Mus musculus: one gene and its partner. The protein of the gene in region 1 purifies or fractionates together with the protein of each later gene. This does not show direct contact. Links are inferred from orthologs where the notes say so. Each region holds a gene or a part of one and is shown on either strand. Other genes may lie near its edges.

Region 1 (3,748 bases):
GGTCCTCTATGGAGCAGGCAAATGGGTGGGGGTTGGCCTTCCACTGAGGGCCACGTGGGCCCATCTCAATGGAGTAAGTCTCAGCAATCTTGGCCATCATGGGCACATCACCAAGGATGAAGGCCTCCACTCCAGAGCGTACGAAGCACGAGAAACGATTGAGGTTCCGTCCTACCACACTGCCCCGCTTGGCAGACGCCAGGCTGTCCTGCCTTTCCAGGGGTGCCTTGGGTCGGAAAGCCATATGCTGGTTGGGGTAGGCACCCGGGTAGGAGAGGTTGAGTGGAGGGTGCCCATTGGTACCTAGGCCGCCAGCTAGTGGCTCTTCTACCACTGTGCACCCATCATCCCAGTCATCCCAATCATCATCATCATCATCCTCGAAGCTTCCTGGGTTTGAGAGGAAGCCGCTGCCCCCACCACTCCTGGCTGGACTGGCCATACTCGGGCTGCTATACAAACTCCCCTGGGTGCCCAGGGAGCCTGCAGGGCTGTTGGAATAGTCCACATGGTTGGTGCTGATGCCAGGACGGACAATCTCGACGTAAGAAGCAGGGAAGAGCCCTGTCTCCCCACGGCTGTTCTGTCCCTGCAGCCAGCCGTCCAGTGAGGTCTCACTGAAGATAACCAGCTCTTCGTCCTGCTGGATACTGATTTCCTCCTTGTTCTCACTGTGGAAATCATAGAGGGCTCGGCCTTTCAGTGCCATGGCTCAGCTATCTGTTAGGTCAAGACTGGAAGGAAAATGCCTTGCCCAGATTCAGGATGTTCAACAGGGTGTCCAAAAAAAAAAAAAAAAATGTACTTGCAGCTCAAAGTCTAGTAAGCCCTACCAAGTCCTTTGGGCAGGGCCTCAGCATGCACAGATGCTGTCTAGCTGCCTTTTGGTCAAAGAAGTGTCCATGGTCCAGAAACTGCCTTGGGGTATCTGCCTGTAAGCAGGGAGGGGTTGGTCATGGCCACAGTCTTTCTCCTCTCCCTTGGCAGCCCCTGGAAAGGAGCGGGTCTCTCCCTCCTCACACACCAAGCAGAAAAGTCAAATGACTTGAAGAAAGCAGCTCTGCTAGAACCAGAACGAGACACACACTTTCCACTAAAACAGTGTTGTACAACAGAAGAGATTTACCCTCAGACCACGGTCCCAGGAACGCAGGCAAGGTTCTGCCTCCTCTGGCTCTCCGTTCTTACTGGCTCCGGCTTTGGGAGGCTCTCACATTCTTCTGGAGATCTGCTCCTTCCTCCTTCCTCTCTCCTCCCGGGCCACCGCGTCTTCAAGAATCCAGAAAATTCAAGAGGGGCAAAGAGAATAACAGCAGAGTCCTGAACCAATTCCAAGGGTGGATGTGTCCGGCCTCCAAAAGAGCCAGGCCAGGAAAACAAGGGCCAAAGCTTGCACAACCGGCTGAAAACTACTCGACCCAGGGGGTGCGACCCCGTCTCGCTAGCTCTGGTGCCCTCTTCCCGCCCTGCAAATGGCCAGCCCCCGCCCCCAGATAACAAGGGGGGGCGCGACAAGCAGCGCAAAGAACTTCTGGCCTCTTTCACTCAGTGCCTCTTTTGTTTGCCTAATTCCTCGGCAGTTTCAGAGTATGAAGCTGACCCGGATCAGAGTCTCAGAACCCCTGTCCAGAAGTAACGCTAGGAGAAACCTCCACCATCACCACCCCCCGCCCCTGATGTGCCCCGGAACACTCAACAGCAGTCAGTAGATAGAGCTCTGTCGAACAGATGGCGTAGTCGGGTGTTTGTCAGTCCGTCCGTAGGTTCGTTCTCCGCGATGCCCTCTGGATCCGACCCGAGAGGGACTAGCTGAGCCCCAGCTTCTTGCCTCTTTGCCCCTCACTCGCAGCCCTTCAGCGCTGCCAGCAGGAAGCCAAGTCCAAAACAAACATTCACCCTCCCTTCAAAAAACTAAAAAGAAAAAGAAAAAAGAAAAAGAAAGAAAGAAAAGAGAAGGGGGGAGGAGTCCAGGAGATGGCGTTCCGAGGAAGGAGGCTAAAGCAGTAGGGGAGGTGAGGGGTGGAGAGAGAGGGAGGGAGGTATGAGGGAGGGAAAGCAGGCTACGGAATTCAACAAACTCTACCGCACTTCCGTGCGTCCTGGCCGGTCAGGGACCGCACAGCTCCGCCCTCCCGCGGCCAGGGTGCCACCGCCGGCCTTCCGCTCACTTTCCTTCTGGCGGGCGCCCTCCCTCTCTCCGGTTCAGTCCCGGTGGCCGGGATCCAGGAAATGGACCCGGGAGTCGGGGAGCTGCGAGCTTTCAGCAGCCCAGTTGCCGGCGCCCAGAGCCGCTTCTCGCTCGGATTGGATCGCCGCGTGGGGGAGCTCGCCAGCCGCCTTCGAGCTTCGCCTCCTGGACTTGGTCATCCATCTGCCTTTTCCGTGACGCAAGTGCAGGAAAACTCCGAAAGTTTGCGGAGCGCAGTGGCAAGGAGGGAGCTATAAAGGCTAGGAGAACCGCCTCGGCTGCAGGGGAGCAGAGCTGCGGACTCCCTTTTCCCAACCTCCTTTCCCGCCACGCGTACTTCGATCTGTCTAGGGGCTAACACAGCTCCCGGGTTGTTCTCAGATGGTGTAGGCAGCAAATTGTGACCCTGGTATCCCGCAGGTGATAACCGATGCTGTAAGCAAGATAGGGAGAGGAGCCCTCCTGCCTTCCGCAGCTCCCAGAGTGTGGGGGTGGGGTGCCAAAGACCATGTAACTTCTTCAGTGACAAGTTGCAAGTTTAGGCACAGGCGGGTTCTGGGTTGCTTTGTCCTTTCGCGGGAGCCAGATCTTCCTTCCAGGCCAGCAGCAAATAGCAAGGAGAGAGGAGTGGTCTGGTAAATAGCCTTTAGGCTTCCAGGATTCGACCCTCCACATTAGGCAAAACTAGGTGTACTAAAGACAGGAGTTGTGCTGAACTCTGGAGCGAATATAACAGCTGGATTGCTGCTGTGGTTTTTAATTCACACTGTCTGTCCCATCATTAAGTTTATATTCCAAACAACAAATTAACCGAAACTAAGATTATCGTCTGGAAGGTCATAAGTATCTTCACAGAGAAGCAAGATGTTCCAGCCTAGTGTGGCCAGTGTCGTGCAAAATGCTTGGGAAGGCACTGATCCCAGCCTAAGTGGAACACATATCAAGAACCTTCCAAGCCGTGGTCACCCATTCCTTCAGTCCCAGCACTAACAGAGACAGGCAGATCTCATGAGTTTGAGGCCAGCCTGGTCTACAAAATGAGTTCCAGAAAGCTAGGGATACATAGAAAACCCCTGCCTCTCTGTCTTGTCTCTGTCTGTCTCTCTTTGTTTTTCTCTCTCTGTCACACACACACACACACACACACACACACACACACACACACACACGCACGCACACACACACACCTCCTCTTCCTCTTGGAGCCCTAGAGCCTTATTTACCCAATCTTGCTAGGGCTTCCTACCTCCAGGTTACTATTGTTCTTACTTATTGCTGATTAACTGGTATAAAGTAGTGCTGCTGAAGGTTGGGACATTTGGCTGTTTTGAGGGTCATGACTCCTAGACCTCTGACTCCAAAACTCATAAACTTTGACTCCCTATGAAGGATAACAGCTGGTCGTGATGACACACACGGGAGACTGAGTGAGTGCCAGGCCAGCCTGTGCCACATCTAGCAAGATCTTACCAAAAGTTAACCAAACAAACCGGGAGCTGAAACAGCACTGTCATGAATTGGAGGCTGGACTCCAGTCCCTTTCTTAAACAAACAGACAAA
Region 2 (3,648 bases), about 35 Mb from region 1:
TCAAAAAACAACAGCAAAGACCTCTTTGCTCATAGATTGGGACCTGAAGAGAGAGCCATTGTCCTTAGGGAATGTCCACTGGAAAGCCAGCTGGTAAACGAGCCACCAGATGAATTCCTCAAGTGTTAGCTGTGGCTGGAGGTTAGTGCAGAATGAAGCTGAGAGCAGCATCCCTAGAGCAGGTGCAGCAGGCATTGGGCAGTGTGTCTTGTAGGAAGGGATAAAGGGGGCTGGAGAGATGGCTCAGTGGTTAAGACTGCTCTTCCAGAGGTCCTGAGTTCAATTCCCAGCAACCACGTGTAATGGGATCTGACACCCTCTTCTGGTGGGTCTGAAGACAGTGACAGTGTACTCATGTACAAAAAAATAAATAAATCTTTAAAAAAAAAAAAAAGGAAGGGCTAAAAGCAGAGACCACTGGACCTGGCCAAAGTGTGGAGGGGCAGGAAGGAAAACCCTCCACAGAGCCTGGGGCTATTGAGAACCAGAGGTGTATAGCTTGGCTGGCCCCCCTGAATTAAGAGGTGCTCTGTGGAGCATTGATTGTTTGTGAGCTCAGCGATGTGGTCCATAGCAGCCACCTGCTGCTCAGGCCTGAGGACTTCATTTCAGTCCCCAAACTAAAGGAACGGTAGAAGGAGACAGTAGACTCCATGTTCTCTGACCTCCACCCAGGCACCCTAACATGTACACTTACCCCCCAACACACGTACTCACAGAAGTAAATAAGAATTCTAAAAGGCCCACAGAACAACCTGGCTCCCACAGACTTGGGGCTCGTCACAGGCCGGAGCCTCTGCACTGCTCTCCTCTAGCATTGGTGTGTTCAGAATCTTTCTTTTCCCTGCTGGGAATCCACCTGCTATGCAGTGGGGCTCTTGCTCTGTCCCTCCCCTCCCTCAGTCTCCCGCAGATGTGGCCCCACGTCCTGCTCAAAGCATATACCTTTGAGTCTTAGTTAGAGGGCCATCCCAGGCCTGCACACTGGTCCCACCATCCCCATCCTTGGGTGTCAACTGACATCTGCTACAGGCTCTCTGCTCCACTTGTTCCAGCTTCTGTCCCCGTCTCAATGATTTGTCTGTAGGTTTGTGGCTCTCTTTGGATTGCACCCAAGACTGAGTATTCTGGCCTGAGGGTGGATTGTGTTCTTTCCTGGCCTCTGGGCCTGTGGTACCCTGTCTGACCCTTACCTTTTCTATAGCAACTGACCAACCACATCCGAGAGTCACTGCCGACCCTTCGCAGCAAGCTGCAGAGCCAACTGCTGTCCCTGGAGAAGGAAGTGGAAGAGTACAAGAATTTCCGGCCTGATGACCCCACGCGCAAGACCAAAGCCCTGCTGCAGTGCGTACTCACTCCCCTTCCCCTTGCCTGGCCCAGTCATCCTGCTCTCCATTCAGGCCCTTGTCCTACCCTGCCCCTGCGAGTGTGGGGTCCAGTCTCTGGACATTTAACATGACACTGTCATTTGTAGGGTTCATGTCCTGAAACTGTGTACCTGCATTACAAAAAAACAGGGAAAAGTCACATTGTTTCAACAAGTTACCATTGTGTGCTAATCCCAGCATTTTAGTAAGTTGCCATTGTGTGTTAATCACAGTGTTTTAGTAAGTTGACATTGTGTGTTAATCACAGTGTTTTAGTAAGTTGTCATTGTGTGTTGTGCCTCATTCGTTGCTGTAGTCCTGTGGCCTGTGGCACTCAAGTTGGACACAGCTGAACAAGGTATGTTATCTAAGCCTGTCATCCTGGGCCTTAGGAGGTGGTGGCAGGAAGATAAATCAAAACTTGCTGAGCTGAGAACGTGGATGAGCAAGTTAAAGTCGAGGGCCTGAGCTCCATCTCCTGACCTAGTGCAAGGAGAGAAACCCTTCCTCCAAGCCTGAGGGCGTGCACCCGTGATCCCGTGGGTCATGGGGAGATCCAGTCTGGGGAGACAGACTGAGCTCCGCCTTCAGGGAGAAATTCAGTAAAGTAGAGAGAGATTTAAAGACAGTGGACAGTCACTTCTTTCCTGCGCACGTGCACACACACACACACACACACACACACACACGAAAGAGAGAGAGAAAACAAGACACTGTTTAAATGAAAAAAAAAGAAAAAGGAGAGAGCAAGCAAATATACCATGATCAACTGGGTGTGGTGGCCTGGTGCAAACTTCAGCCACTTGGTAGGCATTTGGGAGTCCCTTCCTTCCTTGCATCATTTAGTTCCAAGAGGTCAAACACTGTGGCCCTCAGACTCAGTGAGAAGTACCTTTACACACTGAGCCATCCCAGGACCACACCTACCCCCAAAATATGTTCTTTTTCGTTTTCCTTTTTTTTTTTATGCTTACATGAACTGTTGATGCCTTGTGTGGTTGCCAAGTTCTCCGGTGCTCACCCTGTCACCTGCTCTGCACAGATACAAGCTGAGCCTCACAGTGCAGAGCCACTTAGTCAAGATTTCCCAGCCTACCATGTTGTCGCTCCTGTGGGACCGAGGTAGAGAGGTAGCGGAAAGTAAAGATGCTCCTCAGCCGGTCTGGAGCAGCTGCCTTGACAGACAGCCATGCAGTCAATCATGGGACCTGGGGAAGGACTGCATAGCTGTGCCCTCAGAATTCCATCTAGAATTTTAGTATTAACAGATCTATTGAGGTCTTGAGAACAACCAGGATAGTGCCCAGCACTTACCAAAGTAGCGTTGATACTTTACACATTGGCTGTTAAACAGTGATATTGAAAAAGAAAGAAAAATGGCCAAACATGGTGGCATACATGCCTGTAATGCTAGCATGGAAGGCCCAGACAGAAGGGTCTGTAGTTGAAAGCCAGTTGGGGTTACACAGCAATACCTGTATTCACATACAACAATCCCATGAAAATGAGCCACAGGACTGACAAGGTGGCTCAGCGGGTAAACAGGCTTGCTGCCAAGATAGCCTGAGTTTTATCCCCAAGACGTACCTGGTAGCAGGAGAGAACTGAGTCCCATAAGTCTCCTCTGACCCCACTCATAGACTGTGGCATGCCTCCTTCCAATACACAAATGTAACTTAAAGCCTTTGTAAGAGCAGAGCTTATCTCTTGATTCATGTAATTACAGGGCCGTGCAGAAAACTCTGTCTTAACCTTTTGCCTTTTCTTTCGTGAAGGATGGTTCAGCAGTTTGGAGTGGACTTTGAGAAGCGAATTGAAGGCTCGGGAGATCAAGTAGACACACTAGAGTTGTCTGGTGGAGCCCGCATCAATCGTATCTTTCATGAGCGCTTTCCCTTTGAACTGGTAAAGGTAGGTGTTCAGCCTGGAGTTAAGTCAGACACTCTCATGCTTGGTCTTTGTCTTGGCCTTAAAAATTCTTACAAACCATGATGTTACAAGCTCCTGCATCATGTCAGAGGCTGCTGTCAGCAAACTTGGTCTGAAGGACATGTCCCCATCTTCCCAGATCTCATAATTTAGAAGCTCTGAGCTGAACAGGAGGAAAGTCCATGTTTCTTCCACTGGTGGAGGGAAGAAAGATACATGGGGGCCAACGAGATAGCCCAGCAGGTACCCTCTGCTCTGCCCGACTGCCTGAGTGTGATCTGCAGGCAGAAGCACAGAACCAACTGCAGGTTGTCCTCTGACCTCCACACACACAGGCACTGACAACACA

Evidence for each region. The genes of interacting proteins can lie anywhere in the genome.
Region 2: the proteins of Snx33 (region 1) and Dnm2 purify together in Homo sapiens (co-immunoprecipitation; 3 studies listed by BioGRID and IntAct, with this or other methods). This does not show direct contact. The link is inferred for Mus musculus from reciprocal best matches to the Homo sapiens genes SNX33 and DNM2.

What each region holds. Positions count from the first base shown.
Region 1 is NC_000075.6:56,926,075-56,929,822, forward strand, and holds the start of Snx33 (sorting nexin-33), read right to left. Parts: upstream 2,298-3,748; 5' UTR 710-2,297; coding exon 1-709. UniProt on the Homo sapiens protein: Plays a role in the reorganization of the cytoskeleton, endocytosis and cellular vesicle trafficking via its interactions with membranes, WASL, DNM1 and DNM2. Acts both during interphase and at the end of mitotic cell divisions.
Region 2 is NC_000075.6:21,473,328-21,476,975, forward strand, and holds part of Dnm2 (dynamin-2), read left to right. Parts: intron 1-1,204; coding exon 1,205-1,347; intron 1,348-3,145; coding exon 3,146-3,281; intron 3,282-3,648. UniProt on the Homo sapiens protein: Catalyzes the hydrolysis of GTP and utilizes this energy to mediate vesicle scission at plasma membrane during endocytosis and filament remodeling at many actin structures during organization of the actin cytoskeleton.